Linked DNA regions of Nothobranchius furzeri. The main gene of each other region encodes a partner of the protein of the gene in region 5 in a complex. Links are inferred from orthologs where the notes say so. Each region holds a gene or a part of one and is shown on either strand. Other genes may lie near its edges. The genes, in order: zc3h13, rbm15b, E3 ubiquitin-protein ligase Hakai, wtap and mettl3.

Region 1 (4,567 bases), on a different chromosome or scaffold from region 5:
GGAGTCCGGGCCTCTCTGCAGCTCTGAACACATGATAACAGATTATCAACATCATGTTCCCTTCTCAAGGTCCTGCTTATCTCGGCTGTCCTGCTCAAAATAAAGGACTGAACCATTATAACAGAAATAATCATATGGTTGAATGAACAAATGTTATATGAATACCAAATGAAATGTTTTGATTAATCTGTGCTTGAATTATTGAAGTTTGAAATGAATGTTATTATTACATTGAAAGATTTATATATATGATGATCAGTAATGTCTGATATGACAATTGAATCATTATCTACACTTAGACACAAGGTTCATTAGAGATAAATTAAATTAAAGTTAAACGTCATGACACAGATATTTTCTTAACCACAAGTTAGAGCATCCTGTATCTGAAAGAGGCGTGACGTTCTGAGGTTTGCTTGTGAACATCCCTTAACATGACACGTACCGGTTGGCCAAGAAATCATAATATGAGAATATTAAAACAGAGCTCACTAGACGGTGAGTCAGTTCTAGAGAAAGCTACGGACAGGCCTACCGGAGCAAACCTTCTTTAACCCAGAGCATTTTTGACAAGCTGTCAAAAACCCTGCTACATGCTGAAGTTGACACAGAACAAAGCTATACAGTTCCGACTCCCTAAGAGTCCTTCTAGACGCAAACAATTTCATCTACCTGTTGTGATCCGGGAGACGACTCTGGACTGACTTGGTCGTAATGCGGTCTTTTCTACGAACTTCGGTACCTTGGGGTCACCCGACCCCCAACCCCCCAACATCTCGGATCCGAAAGGGAGTCTTCTCAGGGGTATGTAGAACACAACATGATTGCATCTGATGCCGTTTTGATAAGAACCAATTTCATAGCTTAATGCAAACCAAATTCCTTTGCACACCCAGAACTCAGTTCTTCTCAATACAAGGTTCTGATAAACACACGCCATTAAATCACCAGACATCACTCATCCATCACTGTAGCCTTGTCATGTTTTTATTTGTTTAGAAAATAAATTTCTTATCTTTTATAAACCTGACTCTGTCTGAATTGAGATGAAGTTTGTTGATCCCTGGAAAAAGCAAAGAATCTTAGAATCTTCTGAATAAACACTCAAAGACCAAGCAGGTTGATATTCTATGTTTATATAGAATATCACAATTTATTGGTCATAAGTAAAGGTAATGTATTAAGCTTAAAAGCAACAGTATTTACCCCTCTACACTAGAAAAGTCAACAGTAATCACACGAGATCTGGTTTCAATAGTAAACCGGTTGTTGCAAAGGTAGGCTGCACAAAACGAGCACATTTGCCCACTCTGCATTGGCTTTGGACAGTGAGGAGACCCATCCAATATGGCGACGACGCTGTTACGCTCTCCAGCACCGAATGGGGCGTCAACGTCTTTACTGCTGGCGGTGATCGTACCACAGAAGAAGAACGCGACGTAATGCGTCTGAGGCGCACTGTATGTACGCCAACATGAAGTCACTCCGGGCAGTTTCTGCCTTAGATTTCAAAGAATAGGACTTGTTGTTTCGACAAAGTCTTGCTTTGCTAACTAATACAAAGTAGATGAAACACCGAAACCAAATATTGGGTGAGGAGCTGTATTCCGTTTGATCTTACATTAGCTTAAACCGCGCTCGTGGTGGCTTAAAGGCCTGAAGCTACTGTTAGCATTAGCTTCGATATACGTGGATTTTCCTGTTTGAGGTGTGCAAATGAATGGCCCGGCCACGCATTTAAAGCTCTAACACAACACTGTGCAGAAATATTATCGCGTAGTTTGCTGGGAGCAGTGGCTAATCTGAAGCTAATGTGCAGCCGTAGAAGTCTAAACTCAGATAATTCTAGCACAATTTTTAGAAACGTTTGCACAATGTAGGGGAATAAAAAAAACTTTGATATTTTTCTTTATTTTTATGGAAAGAAAAACATTGAAACAGTTTATTTTTGCTGACAAATGTTAATTTTCTGAAATTTTCAACATTATCAAAATTTCTTCCACTGACACATTAAATCCCTTTTCACTTTGTGTTGCTATTTTATTATATTTCATGTTTTTGTTGTTGCACAGTATTGTTCATCTCACGGTGCGTAATTAAAACGCTGTGATTCACAGTTCAAATAAAAAATATTATTTTTTTGTAAAACTGTTGATTTTTTATGTAGTTTTAGATTCTTTGGACCCTTCTGATTAACAGTATTACCATGTTTCCAGTCCTGCAGAATGTCCAAGATCAGGCGGAAAGTAACAGTTGAGAATTCAAAAACGATATCTGACAGCAGCAGCACCACAACCAGCAGCACCAGCAACACCAGCGCCCCGTCTCGCCGGCCCAGTGTCTTTGAACGCCTTGGTCCTAGCACTGGGAGTAATGCTGCAGATGTATGTGTCGCAGAACCGTTCCAGGACTGGAGGTTTTCTTTTTGAGTGGATTTGTCTTCATGTCTTTTATCTTAATTTGTGTTTTAGAGTCACTGTAGAAATTGGCTGAAGACCGGTAGCTGCAGTTACGGCAACACTTGTCGTTACACACATGGAACTCAGCCTCGAGGCAAAGGATTCAGCTTTAATCGGTGAGGAGACCTGGACTTGCTGCTGTGCATGTTGTTCCAATTTAGTTTTTTGATTCCTCAAAACAATGAAACCAATCGCAACGCAGGTCAGCTGAGAGACCCACTGGTGATCTGCGGGAGAGGATGAAAAATAAACGACAGGATGTTGACCCGGAAAACTTGAAGCGAGACGTAGACAAGCCCACAACCTCCAAAGTCAGAGTGAGTTATTTTTGTTTTCTATAGTGTTTTAATCCTTATTGTCTGAAAGGAGAAGAGTAAAAACAAGGCTGAGTCCTTTTGTAGCAGAGAGACTCTTCAAGAGGGCGACACAGAGAGAAGGAAGGCATAAAGATCACGAAGGAGAGGACCCCAGCCAGTGAAGAAGAGCCTGTCGAGTGGGAAACTAATCGAGAAGGTTGGATAGTTTAATCGACAAATAATACGATTCATGCTAGTTGTCATTATTTTGTTAAAAAGATCAGCGCGCCATGATAATAAGTACTACAAACCTTACTTTGTTGACTCAGATTCTGATATTGGGGAATTTGATTACGAGTTATCCCTGGAGATGAAGCGCCAGAAGATCCAACGGGAACTCATGAAACTGGAGCAGGAAAATTTGGACAAACGAGATGATGTCGTTAAGAAAGAGGAGGCTCCTATAAAATCCAGGAGTGCAGCGCTGCCAAAGGTGAGGATTAATATTCACGAGATCTGAAATCCCCAGATTCCCTCAGCGTTGAGCTTTTGTCCTGCCGTCCCTGTTGGTCAGGTGTCGCCTGAGCTGTTGGGTTCCAAAGATTCGCCGTCGTCCAGGAAGTCCGGCGGCTCCCCGAAATACAAAAGTATAAGTAAAGGCTCCGGTTCTGGGAAGAAAGAGAAGAAGGCAGCCATGGCCTTGGCGGTGTCAGAAACCCTCCGGTAAGAAGGCGTAAAAAAAGCGTCTTGAGTCGCGGGACGGAGCCCAGAAAAAAAATCACTCCCTTTTTCTTTTAGGTCTTCAAAAGGAAGCCACAGTAAGAAGAAGGGGCCTCGTACGCCGAGTCCTCCTCCCCCGGTCCCTCTCGGCATTCCTGTCGTTGGGAAAAAACACAAAGGGAAACATAAAAACAAGGAGAAGACCGAGGAGAAGCAGAAGGAAGGGAAAGAGCGGGGACGGGACACGGAGAAGCATAAAGAAAAGAAGGAAAAACGCCGGTATGACGGGAACGTCGTCTCCTGCAGCTGTTTTTATCCCACCGTTTCACAAACTCACTTGTTGCTGTTCTCCTTTGTTGTTTATGTAGGCAGATAATCAGGTGAGTGGCTACGAAAGGTTCTGTTTCAACCCGCAGATGCTGGACTAACTTTGCTGCATGGCATTTATCTCACTCGGCTTTTTATTCGCGTCAGAACCCAAAGGTTTGCTTCGGACGGGTTTAAATCCACGTTTTAACGAAATCAGCCGCTGAGCTTTTCTAGAGCAGCTCAGAGGATGCTTCCTGATCGTACCTGGTTTATTTTTTAATGCTTGTGCCTCTGATTAGTAGTATCCACCTCTCATTCAGCCGTTAATCTGAAGCGGTTTGGTGTTAAAGTGATCGATCCGACAGTTCCCATAAGGCCAAGCGGGCGGTGACATCGGAGGAGCGCTCTGGAAGTGCGTCGTCTCCCTCCAGGTGTGCGTCACCTCCAGCGAGGAAGAAGTCCGTCTCTCCCAAAGTTTCATCTCACAAGGCCTCGTTGCTCCCCTCCCCCCCTCAAAGGTCTGAACTTCCTGGTTTTCCGACACGGATAACGCCAAACGGCTTTGTGAATAATGATGTTCTGTTTCTGCAGGTCTCCTTCCCCTCCACACCACCACCGCAGTCGCACTCCTCCTCGCCGCCACTCCCAACACTCCCCGTCCTCCCATTCCGGTTCCTCCAACAACCGCCACTCCCCGTCGCCTCGCCGCCGCCGTTCTTCCTCTCCCACCTCCTACCGGAGTTCCACAGCTCAAGCTTCTGCCTCGTCGCCACCGCGCTCCCG
Region 2 (4,695 bases), on a different chromosome or scaffold from region 5:
GAGTGTTTTTAAAATCCTCCTCCTTCTCCCGCCAACCCCACCGGCTCACAGGGAGAAGCGGAGTGACGTGTGTAGTGTGGCTGGAATCCAGAATCCTAAAAGGTTTCAAACCAGGAAGTGTTGGTTCTGTACATCAGTTAGTGTCGTTAACGATCACGATCACCATGTGCTCCTCCTCCAGATTACCCACAGTCCTCTTGGCTGTCTGCAGAAACTGCTGAGAGAACTCTCCTGGGGGGAAGGCATAGAGCATGGCGCCCGGCCCACCCTCCTTGGCACTGGGCAGGCTCACCACACCGGCCGCCTCTTTGTTCCGCAGGTACGTCACCAGGTGGCGCAGCAGGCGCACCTGCAATCCTGGCTCCAGACCCGGGGTCTGGCGGTCCACAGGGCCCTGCAGAGCCAGCAGGATGGCAAAGCCATTGGGGCGGCCCACCTTGATGCGGCGCGAAACCTCGTCGAGCCGGGCCTGGTCCATGCGCAGCCGCTGAGCGATCTTTAACTGGCTCAGCTGATTCTTGCTCGGCTGCTTCAGGCTGTCCTTCATCACAGTGTTGAAGAAGGACACGCCCCCCTCCAGCAGGAACAGGTCTGTAGGAAAGCTGCTGTTCTTCAGGGTGAACAAGCCTCTCCACATCCTGGAGAGCATGCTCTGGGCAAACTCCAACAGCGTGCCGGGGGGTGAGGAGGCGTCTGTGTGGGCTGCAGGAGAAGCCGAGGCATTGGCCTCACTGTTCCGATGGTGGTGGTTGTTCAGCTGTTCGCTGGAGGCCCTCTTGCTGTGATGGTGGCTGGAGGGAGGCTCTTCTTCGTTGGTGGACTGCCTTCCAGCTCCTCCGTTGTCAGGGGAATGGTCTCGGGGTTCTGTGGTGGAGTCGGGAGCTCGGACCCGAGCTCGGTCCGGACTCGCTTCAGGAGAGACGGCTCCACCAACACCACGAACCCTTGACCTCCCCACCTCCTTCTCCTCCGTCTGCCTTTCTGCTGACAGACTACTGCTCCTCCTCCTGTTCCTCCTCTCCTCCCTCTCCTTCAGCCAACGTTCCCTGCTCTTGCTACGACTCCTTGCTGCTCTCCCACTCCTCCCAAACGCCTCCACCCCTCCGGACCTCCTCTCCAAGCTGCGGGTGGGGCTGCTGGGAAAGTCTCTCTCCAGCAGGGCCCTCTCCCTCAGGGAGAGCAGGCTGTGAGCAGGGGGAGAACGCTCCCTGGCCCCCCGTAGCTCCTGTTCAAGGCTGCGATGGCGGCTGTATGCCTCTCCAAGAAGGTCATAGTGGGAAGGGAGTGTAACGGGCGTCTGGTAACCAGGAGGAAATGGGCGCGACGGGCTCTCCTCCACCTTAGCAAAGTCCACCCTGAGCCGGTGCTCTGGGCCCCCCAGAGGGAAGCCCCTCATCTGGGTGCAGGCGGCCTGAGCTGCATCCAGACTCTCGTACTGGATGTAGGCAAAGCTGTCCCCCTTCACGTAGTCAATGTTCCGTATGCTGCCAAAGCGATCAAACTCTCGAGCCAGGGCAGCCAGTGGGTTCCCGGGCCCCAGCCCCCCCACCCAGAGGCGGGTGGTGGGGTTGGCTTTGCCGTAACCGATCTTTATGGGGTTCCCACCCATCAGCCGGCCCTGCATGGCCACTTTGGCACGGTGGGCCATGTCCAGGTTCTGAAACTTCACAAACGCATAAGCCCCGCCCTGTCCACGTGCCGGGCGTTTGATCACCACTTCCTCAATGATGCCATATTTATCAAACCCCCTCCGGAGCTCAGCTTCCGTCACGTTCCCATCCAGGTTACCGATGAACAGGTTACTGGTCGCCCGCTGGTCATCCTCCGGCTTCAAGTCCTCCACCACTGGCATGGGGGGCAGGCCGTAGGGCCGCCCCCTCTCATCCAGCATCCCATAGTAGTCCAGCAGCCGGTCCCGGTCTCTGCTCAGACCCAGGGTCTCCAGGGCGTAGTGTCTGGCTCTCAGTTCCCGGAGGTTGCTGACCCCGGGGACAGGGGGGGACAGGGAGCGCTGCCTGTACGGATAGGGGGCGTGGAGGGGTAAATAACCCACGTCCGGTGGGGTGACACTCCGCCTCCGTACGTACATGGGCTCTATCTTCAGCTGGCGCTCTCCCAGAACCAACCTGGAGGATTTGGCGTGCCTGGCCTCCTTGGCATCCTCCGGGTGTCTGAAGTTAACGTAGGCGATCCGGCCAAGCTCCGGTGTGTGCGACAGCTTCACGCTCACATCCCCGAACTTTTTAAATTCGTGAAACAGCGAGTCCTCCACGTCCTCGTCCGACACCTGCGAGCCCAGGTTACTGATGAGCAGCGTTTTATACTCCAGCGTGCCCGGCCGGGGGGCGGGGAGCTCTGCTGCCGAGGTGCGGAGCGGTGGACGGCCGAGGAGGCTGAGCTCATGTCGGTGGTGGAGCTCCAGGGCGGCCGCCCTCTCCTCCCTGAGCCGCGGCTTCTCGCGTTCCCGGCTCCGGCGGCGGTAGCTCCTGCTCTCCGCCAGTAAAAGCGCCAGCGGCGGCGGGGGCAGCTCCTCTCTGCGGCTGCTCTCCCGCTCCCGTGTCCGTTTAGCGATGGCCCTGGACGGACTGCTCTCCCTGCCGGCCTGCCGCTTCATTTTCTCTGGAGGACGGATCGGAAACTTTTCGGTGTCCGCAGCGGGATTCCGGGAGCGTTAGCGGGAGCGAGGCTACGGAGGACGGGCTCAGGGGGAAACGCGGTTCCACGGCATCCGCTGACGTTCGGCTCATTTACGGATAAAAACCAGAAAAGGTTTAAAAACAAAAACTGCATCAGTGGAGCTTCAGCAGCGCCGCCATCTTGGACAATAGGAATGTGCGCGTTCCCCGAGGACGGAGAACTCGATGACGCAAGCACGTCGCGCGTTACCGTCGCTTCACGTTTAAATCTTTATTTGTTTACATAAATAAGTTTATTATTGAAATGATGGAGAATATGCCCACATCATTTAGTCCTGATCTAGAATCCAGAAGTCCCAATCCAGCGCAAATCTCTTGTTAAATTGGTTTAGATGGAATATTCCTGGGACCAAAACATTTCCAGAGACGTTTTTTTTAACTCTGACCTCTTAACAGTAGAAAAATGTTCCTAACTCAAGGGATGAGACAGAGTGGTGGTATCACCCACAGGACGTTAGGCGGCGTTCTTTTGGTTTAAAGGAATTTCTCAGAGAAGGAAAATATTTTTGCCACAAAATGAATTAGACGTAGATGGATTAATTCAGATTAACAATGGATTTGTGAGATTGATGTGGTCATCATGCCTCTGAGGTTTATTACTGAGGACCACTCCAGTGTCCAGTGGGACAGTCTTCTTTATCCACCAGGAGGTTGGAACATTGGTACACCTTCATTTATAAAGCAATGCTTGGATTACTACCCACCTACATCTGTAACTTAATCTCAAGAAGTGTAAGTCCTCAGTCTGGAAGAAGACGATCAGCTGTTACTTTGTGTTCTGTTTGCTCGCACCAATCTGGGCTAAAGGTCTTTTGTTCACTCTGCTCCTTCTGCATGGAACAGGCTGCAGGAAAACTGGGAATTAGTTTTTTTTCTCCTTGACTACATTTAAAACCAGACTGAGAACCCTTGAGAGGATTCTGTGTTGTAACTGCCTTCTGTAATCTAGTGCATAACATGTCTGTGGAGCTGAAACAACTTCTGCTGCCTCTGGGCCAGGACTGCCTTGGAAATGAGGTTTTTCATCTCAATGGGACCTTCCTGGTTAGATGAAGAATAAATCTGTTACTAACATCTAGATTTGGTCTAAAAAGATGTTCTGAGGAAATCCAAAGTTAATCTTGGATTAAGATTGGATGGAATTCTAGATTTCTCCTCTTCTGGGCAGAATGACAGGAAGGACCAGGGATCAGGTCTGAGCCGGACCTCCAGCCTCTCGGGACGATCCATACAAGCACCAGGGTTCTGGGCAAAGCTCGGTTCTCACAGAGGTGTACCCGAAATCCATCTACTGTTCCAAACCAATCCTAAACTTTCTAATCTGTCGGTGAATGCAGTGTCCTAACAAATAAAACCACTAACAGTTAATCCACATTAGCCAATCCCCATGAGGATCAGGGTTTCATCCTAGATCGGTATCGGCCCGGAGTCAAACCAACCCAAACAAACATCTCAGTTGAGTTTTCACATTTTAATGCAAAAGTAGAATTTACAGTTTTAACAGAAACACAAGTCCCACATTCATGATGGTGTTTGATCCATCAGACGGATGAGGAGTCCCTCAGAAACACGACTCTGTATTTTATCGCCTGTTGGCGAAGCTGCTACAGGACTCAGATGGGTTCAGAGTACATGACATAAGTCTGAAAACATCTGTAAGTAGTTCACCTAAAAAGCCGCCACCATTTGATTTGGTTCTAAACGGTTTTAGGAAATAAGAGTTTAATAAATAAAAACCTTTCAAATCGCCCAGCAGTTATTTCTACCGGAGATCCAAGCTGAAATAATGGAAACTCCTATTTGATCAAACTTAAGGAATTACATTTTATTCTGAAAAGGCAGGAATCGTTTCAAAACAAAAGCCTTTAAAGGACAAAGTTTACTAAATGATCTGCTGTGGGTTTGTTTTTGTTTAAATAAATGGTTTCATCGGTGGAAACTGGATTCTTGTTGCTGAACAGGGCAAGTCTGACGCTTTGGAGCTAAAAAAAAACAGCTG
Region 3 (4,599 bases), on a different chromosome or scaffold from region 5:
TGACTCATTTGATTCATTACATGAACGAAATTTCTATTTTAGATTTAATATTTTAACATATCATTAAACTTTTTGCCACAAAAAAACAAAAACAAGACAGTATTCTCCAGGGTTTATCTTTCTAGCAGGATTTCTTAACATCTGAGAAGTCATTCTAATGAAAAACAAACATGTCTCACCCTGGACACATCTTTTCTCCTTTCTTCTCATGCAGCAAAGCGCAGTCGTAACAGAAAACATGTTTGCATGGGATCTGAGGAGAGGGAGAGTCTCAGTCCAGAAAATGATTCAAAACCAACCAAAGGGAGCAAGCAAGAACAAAGTACATACCATCCGTCCATACAGCTGAATAGGGAGGCCACATTTGTCACAGAAATGAATTGGTACTTCATCCCGTTCACCAATTAAATGTAACTGTAGGGAAAGCAAATGGGTGGAATTATGGGTATCTGTCACTCAGACATACTCAAATCCAGTCACAAAGCTTTTATAGTCAAAGCAAAACAACAGTGTACACTAACCCAAGGTCAATGGACAGCTTTATTATATATATATATATATATATATATATATATATATATATATATATATATATATATATATAAAACAGAAAGTCACTATAATAAGATGATGTCAGCAAACCCACACTGACGTACCTTATAGTCCCAAAATAGGGGTTGTGGAAATCTCCGCTGGCTTGCAAACACATCGCCAGCTTTGGTGCCACAATCAAACCTTTCCTCTTGCTTAAAGTTGAATTTATCTACAAAATATGAGAAAATAAGTATTATTGTAAAACTGAAAAGAGAAAGTCAATAAAACCCTGATTAATAAAAGCAGATTTTGTTGTTTAGAACTCAATTAGTCAACTGATAGAGCTGGGGCAAAATGTTTCAGATTGAAATTTTCAAATTGCAGTATTGTGGGATTGTGTAAGTGTGCAGTACTCGATGTTTAAGGAATGTGCTATGTGTATTATGTACAATGCATAATCAAAGGTCATCTGTTAAGAGTAGTATGTAATGTGGAGATTAGTATGGTTCTGTGTAGTTTTTCCTTTTTTCAGTTATACTAACCGAAGTGCAACTTTTTTGACCTAATGACAAATTTCCCAATTGAGACAATAAAGTATATTCTAATGAATAATGGTTAATTCTATAAGTTAATATACAGCAAAATCTGTCTCACCCTCAGAAGAAGGGTTTTGGTCAGGTTCAACAAAACAATGTTTATGATTACTAACTGAGGTGTATAAATCAGTTTATTTTAAAAGCATCTGTCTAAATAGTTATTTTTAAGGCTCTGCATTGGAGCAAATGACTGATTAGTGGATTCTGCTGGGAGCACAGTCCAGCCAGAATTGTGCAGTTCCTGCAGCACAGAATCAACATGAACCATAAAAAGATTCAACCTCCAAATTAAAATTCTACAGAAAATGTTGTGACTATAACCCCGATCAGTTTACTTTTTAAAAGTTTAAAGAGCAAGTCACCCCCTACCAGAGTATTACTCCACTCCCACTTCTGATTTGAAAAATGCAACAAATGTTGTTGCCTAGCAGACTGAGAGGGCGGAGCTGCTAACAAATACACACACACACACACACACACACACACACACACACACACACACACACACACACACACACACGCTCACAACGACATTGTGACATCATATGGTACCAGCTAACGTTGTAGGATACCTCTTAGCCAATAGCGATGGCAGATTTAAATTCAAATGCAGTGCAGAGTTTTTACCTGACAACGGCACAACACTGACAGTTTTAGTCAGAAAATTAAAATTTTAACTAAAATGCACTAAAGTGCCAAACTATTGACTACACATGTCTGCAGCACAATTTATATAGTTTATCACACAAAAAGGTTGATTTGGGGGTGACTTGCTTTTTAATGTGCTCGGTAGCGTACCATCTTCCCCAGGTTCACTTTTGCAGGGCCTGGTGCCAGGCCTCTGCATCCGCTGCTGGGGCTTATTCCTCAAGGGCTGCTTGGAAATGAGCTTGATGGGGATTCGTCTGCGAACATCCAGTCCACCCAAACTTCCCGAACCATCGCTCCCTTGAAGATCACCGTCTGTACACACCGAATGCACAACCCAAAAAATAAAAACAAAAAACTGATAGCATCACACCATTAAGCACAATTATATTACATCTGCGTTCCAAAAGTTATGTAAATCTTTATTTGAAATGTACCCGACTGATGAGTTAAATAAGCAAACGTTTCTGTTCTTGTTCAAACTACTTTTTGGCGTGTTAATGTTTGGCATTTCTGCCTGCTGATGTGTCGGAACACTTTCCCTCATGTAATCAAAGTATAAATCTAACGGTTTGAAGAATAATGCTTATTATCTGTGACGTAAGTTTATCAAGAAAGTGTTTTTTATGGTAAAGAAAGGAGAAAATTCTCAAAACGAAGGCACATAAAAGGCGACAGATTGAAACGTTGACATATTTAAGAAATATTCCGAAAGAACACCAGGCTATTTTTATCCAACCGAAATTCAGTTTACCCTGATCTTTACTTGTGAGAATACTAAACACAAAGAAGGTCTCGGACATCAATAAATAATCTGAGGACGAGCAACAAAAACGAAGTTACAAACCGTTAGCCAAAGAATTAGCTAAGCGCTAAAACAGGGTAAGGTAGGCTGTACAACGCTATCGCTGGATTTACACCTAAAATCAAACTAATCACATTCGGCACAGGAACCGAACACACCTCCAGTTAACGTTACAACTAACTATTCCAACTGACTTAGAACTTAAGGGTTAAATGGTGAACTGACGTCCTTTAGCACAAATCCACAGCTAACCTAAACCGTAACGGAGCATTTCAGAGGCACCAAGCTCCAACAGCAAAGCCGGATTCCTGGAAGGTTGTTCGTAATAATTTAAAGAACTACTAGAGCAGCAACTCTGGCGGCAAAACGAAAAAATAAGCCACAAAAACAAACTTTGACAACAGAGGGCCTACTTAGCGTTTAGCTCACCACTTTGGTCCATGATCCAACCGGATCCAACGAGTGAGCGCAATGCATTGTGGGTGGCCGGGGGGGGGGGGGGGGTCCCTTGAATTCTGTAAAGATGATATTTATAAACATACAATATTAAGTAATTCGTTCATTAAAATAAAACCACTTTTCTGATCTTTGTAGTATAAACTGAGCAGTTAACTTCGCATGCATAAATAAAAAAAAACTAACACTCTGTAAAAGTGTCAAAATTGTTGCACTTCTAAATGAAGTAAATGCATTTTAAACTTTTCAGAACAGCATTTAAGCTAGTAGTCTAATATTTTGGTATTGGCATTTTTAATTTAATCAGATTATATGCATCTTCATTCATATCACCTTTAATTTCAAGTTAAACTGGTGTTTTTAAAATCTCTTATTTCTGACATATATCGCATAACGTCTCGATAATTTTGACTTCATGTGTTTGTTGCGTTACTGCATAATGAGTTTGTCTCATAATTTAGATCTTGTTTTAATTTGAGCGTCGTTTTGTCGCATACATTTGCACAATTCCCACAAGCGCTGTTAATGTACCATTTTTAAAAGTAAGAGACAATTAAACGAGTCAGAAATTACATAATTTACAATTAAGATGCTTGAACCCCATGTGAGTGAGCTCTGATGTTTTGCGAAGCAGTGAAGCTGATGCTCGTCCCCGTGTGCCGCGCGCTCTCATCGTACAATGTCGCCATTTTGATTCGAAATTTATGACTGAGTTTTTCTTGCTTTGCATGTTAAACTTAGCCCCGCGTTTGAATTACTTAATGCGTGAGTACAAACCATGCCCTGTCTATCAGAAAGGACACGTATCGCTTTTTATTTTTAGAGGAAATTAACGTATGGACCTTGCGTATTTAACAGTTTTGCAGCCACATCTGACTAACGTTAGCGAAGTTGAGCTAGCTTACGTTAGCCCGTGCTTCTTCAAAACAAATCACTCACAGGCTAACGGATGTTAGCTAAGCTACCACGGCAAGCTACGTTAGCTACATCGACCTAATAGCTGGCTCTTGACTATAAAACCCACAAATATCCAACAGAAAAGGAAGCAACAGCGGCGGACTTTCCATCAAAGGTTAGTTTTTGTCTTAAAATAATCAGTCTTTTTAAGCAACTTGCACATTTTAACTCTACTGTTCCAACGACGAAGTTATACCTAAGTTAGTGACCTGTTCAAGTTTGCTTTTGGCTCTACACTAGTCAACTGTCGTCAGCTAATTAGCTCTAATGCTAATAAGAAGAAGGGAGGAACTAGTTTACATTTGCTAAATTATTACTGAGTTTACAGTTGAACATCTGTGGTCGAGTTCTCCCAAGAAGTGAATGTTAGCCAAATGGGTTTGTTTGCACAATTGTTTAGGTCTAAAGATTACTCGACGCCAGTGTTACCTAACGTAGTAGCTACATTGACTTCACTAAATGTTTTGACGCGCATCTAAAACACGTTGATGGTGGCTTGAATTTTCCTTTTTCTGTTTTGCCACCATAAGAAAGTAAGAACATGTTTCATTAAGATGTTTAGGTTAGCTGTAGTCAGCTGAGGCCAACACGAACGTCTGTCAT
Region 4 (2,874 bases), about 53 Mb from region 5:
TTACTTGTAAGAAAAATGCTTTTTACTGGCGCACGACGTGGTCATCTGGATGCAGTGGAGGAAAGGAACCGGCAAAGACGCAAAGGCAGAACCGGTGCAAAGTTTGGGATCAAAAGTGCAGCTACACGCAGATTGCCTAAAGCTAATGGGTAGCAGTCTCACGATCAAACACAGAAAAATATATGATGATGGTATAACTAAGAAAGACTAAACTCTGCAAGCGGATGAAAAGCCCCCACCATCCCGTTTAGTCTGCATCCTGCAGCGCTACGGATCGAAACCGCTGCAGATACGAGTCACATTACTGCTGTCGCTGGAATTACGGCAAGCCGTTGTAGTATATAATTCACAAATGCATCTATCTTTGAACATAACATAAACTGGATTATTTCCAACCCGTACATAATAGACATGCCACCATTACATTGTTAGCAGCAGAAATTAAATGTAATTACCATTTCCAATACAAATGCATGTTAGTGAAATGCATTATATGTTACTGGATATGTTTATGTGTCATTTAGACTAAGATCAGTGTTATTAATACAAACCTGAAATGTAGGTCAAGCATTTACAAATATTTTAACTATAAATATCAGCTGGGAAAAAGGGAACTAAACACCAATCTGATATATTTTATTGAGCCTTTTATAATATTTTACCTTGAAAAAAGTGAGGCAGTGTGTGCTGGCGCATGGTCAGGATGGTACCACCTCTGCCTCAATTTGAGTCAGGAAAAACCCTGCGTACCACCTTGAGTCAAGGTTATACACGTGGCAGCCCCATCTAGTGGATAACTTTTGTTACCTATCGTTATCGAGGTGAAATCTTCAATACATCGTGATATTGATTTTAGGCCGTATCGCCCAGCCCTAATGTCATGTAAATGTGCTATGGTTGCTTTGGGGTAAAAGCTTTAAGCATTAGCAGGTAAGTTTTGTTTTAGAGTACTTTAAACACCCACAATTATTTTTTCGTTTATTTATTTATAGATCAGCGGATAACAGTTTGTTTTGTATCATTTTAAAGGCTGATTAAATATTATCAAGGCTCTTCTATAATAAACCCATAACCTCAGAATAAAGCAGTTTATTGTTGAAGCATCGTTTTAAAGATTTAAACAGATGTCTAATGTGTATTCCGTTCCATCCTGCAGACCCAGATCCAGTACCTGAAGCAAGTCCAGCAGCCGAGCGTGGCCCAACTGCGGTCGTCCATGGTGGATCCAGCCATCAACTTGTTTTTCCTCAAAATGAAGGCTGAACTGGAACAGACTAAAGACAAACTGGAGCAGGCCCAAAATGAACTGAGTGCCTGGAAATTTACACCTGATAGGTAAAGACAATCAAAAATAACTCCCCCCTCAGAAAAAGTCAAGACTTCCTCACGCCTCCCCCATCCTCACTCTCACTGCAGGCATGCAGGAACAATGGTGGGGGGGGGAGGCTGACAAAACGCTGTTCTCGTCACGAGACTCAGACTTTACAGACAGCCGGTCACTGCAAAAACAAAACAGCTTTTGTTCTTTTGTTACCGAGCCAGCTGCACACCACTTAACCTAAAAAACACAATAAAAAAGACCGTATGGTCAGGTGACACTCGTGTGTTTCAGCCTCATATCCTCACCGTCCAAGGGCCTGAAGGAGTCCGGACTGTTCTGAAGAGGTGGTCTCTCACTTCCTGCCACGGATATGCCCTCTCTGCCCCCCCGCTCAGCTCAAAGCAGACAGTTCATTTATAAAATAAGGGGATTATGGGGGAGGATGTGTCAGGCAGGGGGCATCCCTAGCCTAAAACAACAATTGAACATTTCAAAGACATGTAACAGTGGATCATTTCACACAAACACCTGCTAGTCTCCCTGAGAAGTGTAAAGACCCTTTGGCTACATTTCATTCACATGAGGAAAATTAAGACTAAAGCTAACTTGTGGGGAAGGAGACACTAAACATTTAAGACTGAGCGGAGCCAGATCTTCGGATCACAAAGGTGGTTGAGGCATGGGGTCCAGTCGGACCGACTCACGGTAGAGTCCATCTACGTGTTTTGTTTTGTGAACTGTTTCATTTCATTTGATAGAAACACTTACTGCAGTGTGTGGAGCCTGATTGACTTGTATTATTTACCCGCATGTTCTGTGTACACGGTTTGGATTGGGCTTTGCTAAACCCCCTCAAACACACTGCCGTACGTGTGTCGAGTCCTGTTATCAAACTGAGTGAAAATGTCCTGAAGAAGCTGTGTTTGAGACGACGAGGGTGTATTTTTTTGTATTTGTGTATTTTTGTGATTGACCAAATCATTTCTCCCACAGAAAGCGACTTCTCTGCTATACCCACTAGTTAATTATTTTAACAGTTTGGGGCTCACGTTTTTATTTTTTTATTTTACGTTGGCTTTAAAATAACTCCCAGCATATTTAATAGCAGGAGAATGCAGCAAATGCTCTTAAATCATAAACATTTCTAGTTTTAGCCTTTTTAAACATGCCTCACCATGCCTTGTACAGGATGCAGTTACTGCTGGGTTTAATGTCTTTAGTTCCCTCGGGGCCGATGATACTTAAATGAGTATATATACATTTATTCTTCAGATGTGGCCATCAGGAATTGTTTTGAAGTCATTTATGTAATTTCTTTGCCTTTTTGGCTTCTTTATGACTGATTCCAAAAGCATAGCTGCAGTCCTAACTGATGTCAAATCGCAGGTGTAGCAAAGTGCTTCCCAGCTTCTTTACCTGTTGTAAATGGAACAAACCGCATCTGGAGCTGTGTGATTGTGCTGTTGAAACATTTGTGTTTAATATGAGGACACCTTTTTCTGTTTGCTGCTCTGAAAGTTTGACTTTTAGTGTTTCACTGGGAAAAGATCGAG
Region 5 (4,397 bases):
ACTACCCACAATACACTGCAGTATTTTCAAAAGGACGGCGGATCAGAAGCCGGCAGCTACTTCGGGGACAATTTTCAAGTTTAAAAGTAAGTCAACTATTTAAAATGTTTATTTAGATCCAAAGAAGTTATCTATGGTTGGTTAGTTGCTTAGTAGTTGCAGCTTTGGTGGCTAGCGGGTAGTAACTCGCTTATATATTTAATTTAATAAACATATACACAATTTAGCTCATTATATATTTATATTGAAACTAATACATATAAAATATAACTTTATCTCCCGTGTCACGTGACGTTACGTGACCGCCGTGGAAGCCGCGGTCACGTGATGCAAGTCTGTTCCATTTAACCGTTTTCTTTGACCAAAGGACCTCGTAAGTAAGGCGCCTTGACATTGAGAAACACCCTAGCTGACACGATTTTATTCGCTTGACCATGGAACAATAAAAGCTTCGTAACTATGTTCATCCACCCGAGTGCCTCAGTCCGCATTTTCCTGAGGCGATGCCAGGATCTTCTAACTGAAGAGCACCGGAGGTATTTATAATCTTTCACCTAAGAAGCACTCCAAGCATTTTTGCTGTTTTTGACAGAAATACAATCCTGTAGCAAGAACAAAATTAAACAAACACTAAAATATGTGGGAAAAAAGAGAGAAAAAGCTGCATTGAAATATTCCAGGAATCAGCTTGTTTCTCTGAATCCTATTTTTGCTTCTTTTTCAGCGGGTCTACTCCGAGCCCCTCCCGGATGACTGAGCTTCTCACCCTATCTCTAAGGAAGAGGCCAGCCACTCTTTGGAGAAAACTCATTTCGGCCGCTTGTATCCGCGATCTCTCTTTCTGTCACTACCCAAAGCTCGTGACCATAGGTGAGGGTAGGAATGTAGATCGACCGGTAAATCGAGAGCTTCGCCTTCTGACTCAGCTCTCTCTTCACCACGACAGACCGGTACAACGCCCGCATCACTGCAGATGCAGCACCAATCCGCCTATCGATCTCACGCTCCATCTTTCCCTCACTCGTGAACAAGACCCCGAGATACTTAAACTCCTCCACTTGGGGCAGGACCTCATATGGAGAAGGCATTCTACCCTTTTCCGACTCAAGACCCTGGTCTCAGATTTAGAGGAGCTGATTCTCTCAGAATGTCATCTAACAGTTCATAATAGGGCTCGGCGATATGGCCTAAAATCAACATCACGATATATTGAGGATTTCATCTCGATAACGATAAATGGACGATAACTACGGGTGTGCTCAGAAACAACAGTTGTCCACTAGAGGGGGCTGTCACGTGTTACGTTGAGTCACATTTTTATGCGACTGGAGGTGGTTCAGCTTCTTAAAGGGACACAAACGCTGCCAACCTACACACATCTTTTCATTTTTTATTATCAAATTTATTGACGTGGAAAAAATTATTACAATAAGAAATTTGGATAAAGATACATTTTTTATTTATTGCCCAGCCCTAGTTCAAATGTGATTATAGTACTCTACTGGTTACATCCTTTTATTGGAGCTATTTTGTGTGAAGTGTTGATTTAATGGTGGGATGTTCAAAAATGGGATGGGATGTGTACCGGAAGTGCAGCTTAGTGCACGGCTGAGGCGTGTCTCCAGAGCGCAAACACTCTTCTTTAGTCCCGTGATCACAGAACTCCTGGACTTGAGCTCGACCACGAGAGCGGAACTTTTCCACGATGGACTGCTCCTTGGCTGTGCTGGTGTTGAGCAGCTCCAGAATCTCCTGACTCATCTGGAAATGAAATATAAACAACATTCACACAACGCTCCCTCCGCCAGAGTTCTGCACGCTTAGACGTGTTAATCCGTAAACCTTCTTGCTCTGCTGCTCCTTGGTGGACTGCTGGTTCAGGAGGCTTTCAATCTCCATGTCCAAATGAGACGACTGGCTCTTGCTGCTCCTGCCCTTCTTCTCGGCTCCACACCCCGAAAACGAAGCCCCCGCCACCAGGGACGAAGAGGCTGGAGTCAGGGAGGAAGTGGGCAAATGTGGAGGAGAAGCAGAGCTTTGAAGTGAAGGTGAAAAGCTTTTCTGCTCCTCCGCTTTTCTCTTGACTCCAGTCCTTTGAGCTCCTCCTACAGACCCGATCATAGCCCAGAGTTTTGTGTGGTCCACGGCTATGACGACTGTGCAGGAGGAAGCTGATGAAGAGGACGGCTGTCGGACCTCAATGAGCTCCTGAGCAGAGAATTTAAGCAGCAGACTCTGGATGCATCCATGACTAACGGCACCTTCAGACTGGGATAAGAAATCAACATGATGTAAAATGCAAAACAACTGCTTTAACAGTCCTATTGTTGACGGGGGACAAACTTACACTGCCGAGTTGATTTGTGATGGTGAGGGAGTCTGTCGGGAGGGAAAGACTCAGATCGGACAGATATCCCAGCAGCCTCTTCTCTAGTTCTGGGTCTGGTGGTTTTTCCGTCTCCTCCTGGGAGCTGAACGGAGCCGAGGGAGCTGGACTGTCACTCCTGGCTGTGGAAGTGTCAGCACTGCCTGCAACGTCTGAGAAGATCGGTTAGAACATTAGTTCGGATAAAATAGCTTCAGAGCTCAGTACGTCACAACTCTTGTTGCTCACCCGATTGGTATTTTAAATGTATTACTTCTTTGAAGCAAACATACGCATCAAATCTGCACTTCATATATGGTAAACGCCATTGATATAATACGTTAAATCATTTATTGGTACCAACACAAGCAGTGGAAGTGTCGTGTCGTCAAAAACGATTACCACTCATTCTGTTTCAATGCATTTCCAACTACAACTGTTGCTTAAACCAATACATTTTAAGAAAACTGCAAGAGAAAAGAATTATTGTTAATTTAATAATTGTTTGTTCTTTTCAGCACGGAAACACAAAACAATTTCCGTTTACTCCCCCACTGCTCAGCAGGGAAAAAGCTAACGCACATATTAATTTCATGCTAATTTTTGTTCTTCTAGACAAATTTTCAGTTTATAACGAAAACACTGTCAACACGTATAAAACCCAATTCCAACGGGATGTAACACATTTTGACATAGCACCGACGGTCTTTGCCGAGTGTCCGGCCTGTACACACCCGCTGCGGACAGCTGCGCCGGGTCCTTGCGTCGCCGCTGCAGCCTCTCCCGCAGAGAGTCCAGCTGCTTCTTGTGGGCCTGGATATTGCTCCATGTGTCCGACATGGCGAGCTGGGTAAAACAGCAGCGCACTCACAGAAACAGTCACAGTTCACCGCAGAACGACGAGATGAAAAATATCCGCGCTCTCAGGAACAAACTATATATGGTACGCGGCGAGAACATTCCGGACGAGCGTCTTGAGTGAAATTAAACGTTCCGGAAAAAATATAAGTGGTGCTTTATCGGTTGTCTTTACAGTTTACTAAAATTATTAGGATAATAAATTGATAACTCTATACTAAGCTGGAGTTAACAAACGTAACGAAAGCATTTCATTAATTTGATACAGCATTAACTGAAATAATATGTCGGATGAATTTAAAGGACGGACCACCGCAGTTTCCGGCGTGACCGAAATTAAAAATTTTCCCATTCTTTGTGCCAAAACCAGATCGCATTCGCGACTGTATTGAGTATGTCAGTTTCTCATCGCATCAAGATTCAACCTTTAGCGGTTATTTGGCGTCTTCCGTGAAGACTTTGTTGCGTTCCGGTTGTTGCTAATCTTTATTTTTGTGTGCTCCTGTTGAAGCGAAGATGGCGGAGAAAGAGGACAGTGGAGATCCTGGAAAAGACAAAAACGACCTGCAACTGATAGAGGCAAGCTTCAGTAACAGCATAGCCTGGTTAATTACATGTCTCAGTTTTATGTTTTGTTTTTCTTCAGGAAGTAGTTCATCTTGACAGACTGGTAGTGCATTTAATATGCTGTTTGATGTGACTGGTGTACTTTTTTATCATCTAAATCTCACGCATTTTTGTTTATGTAGTCAGTTTAAGCATCGAGCTAATTGTTTTACTCAAATTGGCAGTTTTTTCCTATCCGGTTTAGTCAATTATCGGACAGTCAAAAACACTTAAAATGGAAAGTAAACGCTCAAAAAAGAGCCAGGAGAACTACTGACCAGGAAATATTTACAGATTACATGATACTCTGGCAAATTTTAAGATAAATAGTTCAAAACTGAGACGATTCAATACTTCTGCACGTTGCTTTTTGTAGTTTTCATCCACGTTTTGCTCTGATCTGCTCAGGGATGTTATCAGTTCATTTCTTGCATCGCTGCTATTAAACTGAGGTAACAAACACAAGTTTTAACTAACAAAAAGGATCATTTATTAAAATTCCAACGTAAATTGCTACTACGGCAAAATATAAGACAATTTAAAACAAAGTATCACAGCTTTGCATAAA

Evidence for each region.
Region 1: mettl3 (region 5) and zc3h13 share a complex: the UniProt entries of both Homo sapiens proteins name them as parts of the WMM complex. The link is inferred for Nothobranchius furzeri from reciprocal best matches to the Homo sapiens genes METTL3 and ZC3H13.
Region 2: mettl3 (region 5) and rbm15b share a complex: the UniProt entries of both Homo sapiens proteins name them as parts of the WMM complex. The link is inferred for Nothobranchius furzeri from reciprocal best matches to the Homo sapiens genes METTL3 and RBM15B.
Region 3: mettl3 (region 5) and E3 ubiquitin-protein ligase Hakai share a complex: the UniProt entries of both Homo sapiens proteins name them as parts of the WMM complex. The link is inferred for Nothobranchius furzeri from reciprocal best matches to the Homo sapiens genes METTL3 and CBLL1.
Region 4: mettl3 (region 5) and wtap share a complex: the UniProt entries of both Homo sapiens proteins name them as parts of the WMM complex. The link is inferred for Nothobranchius furzeri from reciprocal best matches to the Homo sapiens genes METTL3 and WTAP.

What each region holds. Positions count from the first base shown.
Region 1 is NC_091754.1:49,209,654-49,214,220, reverse strand, and holds the start of zc3h13 (zinc finger CCCH domain-containing protein 13), read left to right. Parts: upstream 1-1,452; 5' UTR 1,453-1,592; intron 1,593-2,216; 5' UTR 2,217-2,225; coding exon 2,226-2,384; intron 2,385-2,471; coding exon 2,472-2,575; intron 2,576-2,661; coding exon 2,662-2,776; intron 2,777-2,860; coding exon 2,861-2,972; intron 2,973-3,084; coding exon 3,085-3,248; intron 3,249-3,329; coding exon 3,330-3,478; intron 3,479-3,553; coding exon 3,554-3,754; intron 3,755-4,134; coding exon 4,135-4,302; intron 4,303-4,375; coding exon 4,376-4,567. UniProt on the Homo sapiens protein: Associated component of the WMM complex, a complex that mediates N6-methyladenosine (m6A) methylation of RNAs, a modification that plays a role in the efficiency of mRNA splicing and RNA processing.
Region 2 is NC_091743.1:78,035,133-78,039,827, forward strand, and holds the start of rbm15b (putative RNA-binding protein 15B), read right to left. Parts: upstream 2,851-4,695; 5' UTR 2,615-2,850; coding exon 134-2,614; 3' UTR 1-133. UniProt on the Homo sapiens protein: RNA-binding protein that acts as a key regulator of N6-methyladenosine (m6A) methylation of RNAs, thereby regulating different processes, such as alternative splicing of mRNAs and X chromosome inactivation mediated by Xist RNA.
Region 3 is NC_091741.1:57,567,154-57,571,752, forward strand, and holds the start of E3 ubiquitin-protein ligase Hakai, read right to left. Parts: upstream 2,974-4,599; 5' UTR 2,855-2,973; coding exon 2,836-2,854; intron 2,797-2,835; exon of another isoform or gene 2,626-2,796; intron 2,094-2,625; coding exon 1,905-2,093; intron 764-1,904; coding exon 657-763; intron 415-656; coding exon 331-414; intron 254-330; coding exon 180-253; intron 1-179. UniProt on the Homo sapiens protein: E3 ubiquitin-protein ligase that mediates ubiquitination of several tyrosine-phosphorylated Src substrates, including CDH1, CTTN and DOK1. Targets CDH1 for endocytosis and degradation.
Region 4 is NC_091742.1:5,869,234-5,872,107, forward strand, and holds part of wtap (pre-mRNA-splicing regulator WTAP), read left to right. Parts: intron 1-1,156; coding exon 1,157-1,335; intron 1,336-2,874. UniProt on the Homo sapiens protein: Associated component of the WMM complex, a complex that mediates N6-methyladenosine (m6A) methylation of RNAs, a modification that plays a role in the efficiency of mRNA splicing and RNA processing.
Region 5 is NC_091742.1:58,858,613-58,863,009, forward strand, and holds the start of mettl3 (N(6)-adenosine-methyltransferase subunit METTL3), read right to left. Parts: upstream 3,206-4,397; coding exon 3,100-3,205; intron 2,539-3,099; coding exon 2,348-2,538; intron 2,269-2,347; coding exon 1,843-2,268; intron 1,762-1,842; coding exon 1,586-1,761; intron 1-1,585. Other genes in the region: ttc5 (tetratricopeptide repeat protein 5), read left to right, coding at 3,204-3,308, 3,740-3,802. UniProt on the Homo sapiens protein: The METTL3-METTL14 heterodimer forms a N6-methyltransferase complex that methylates adenosine residues at the N(6) position of some RNAs and regulates various processes such as the circadian clock, differentiation of embryonic and hematopoietic stem cells, cortical neurogenesis, response to DNA damage, differentiation of T-cells and primary miRNA processing.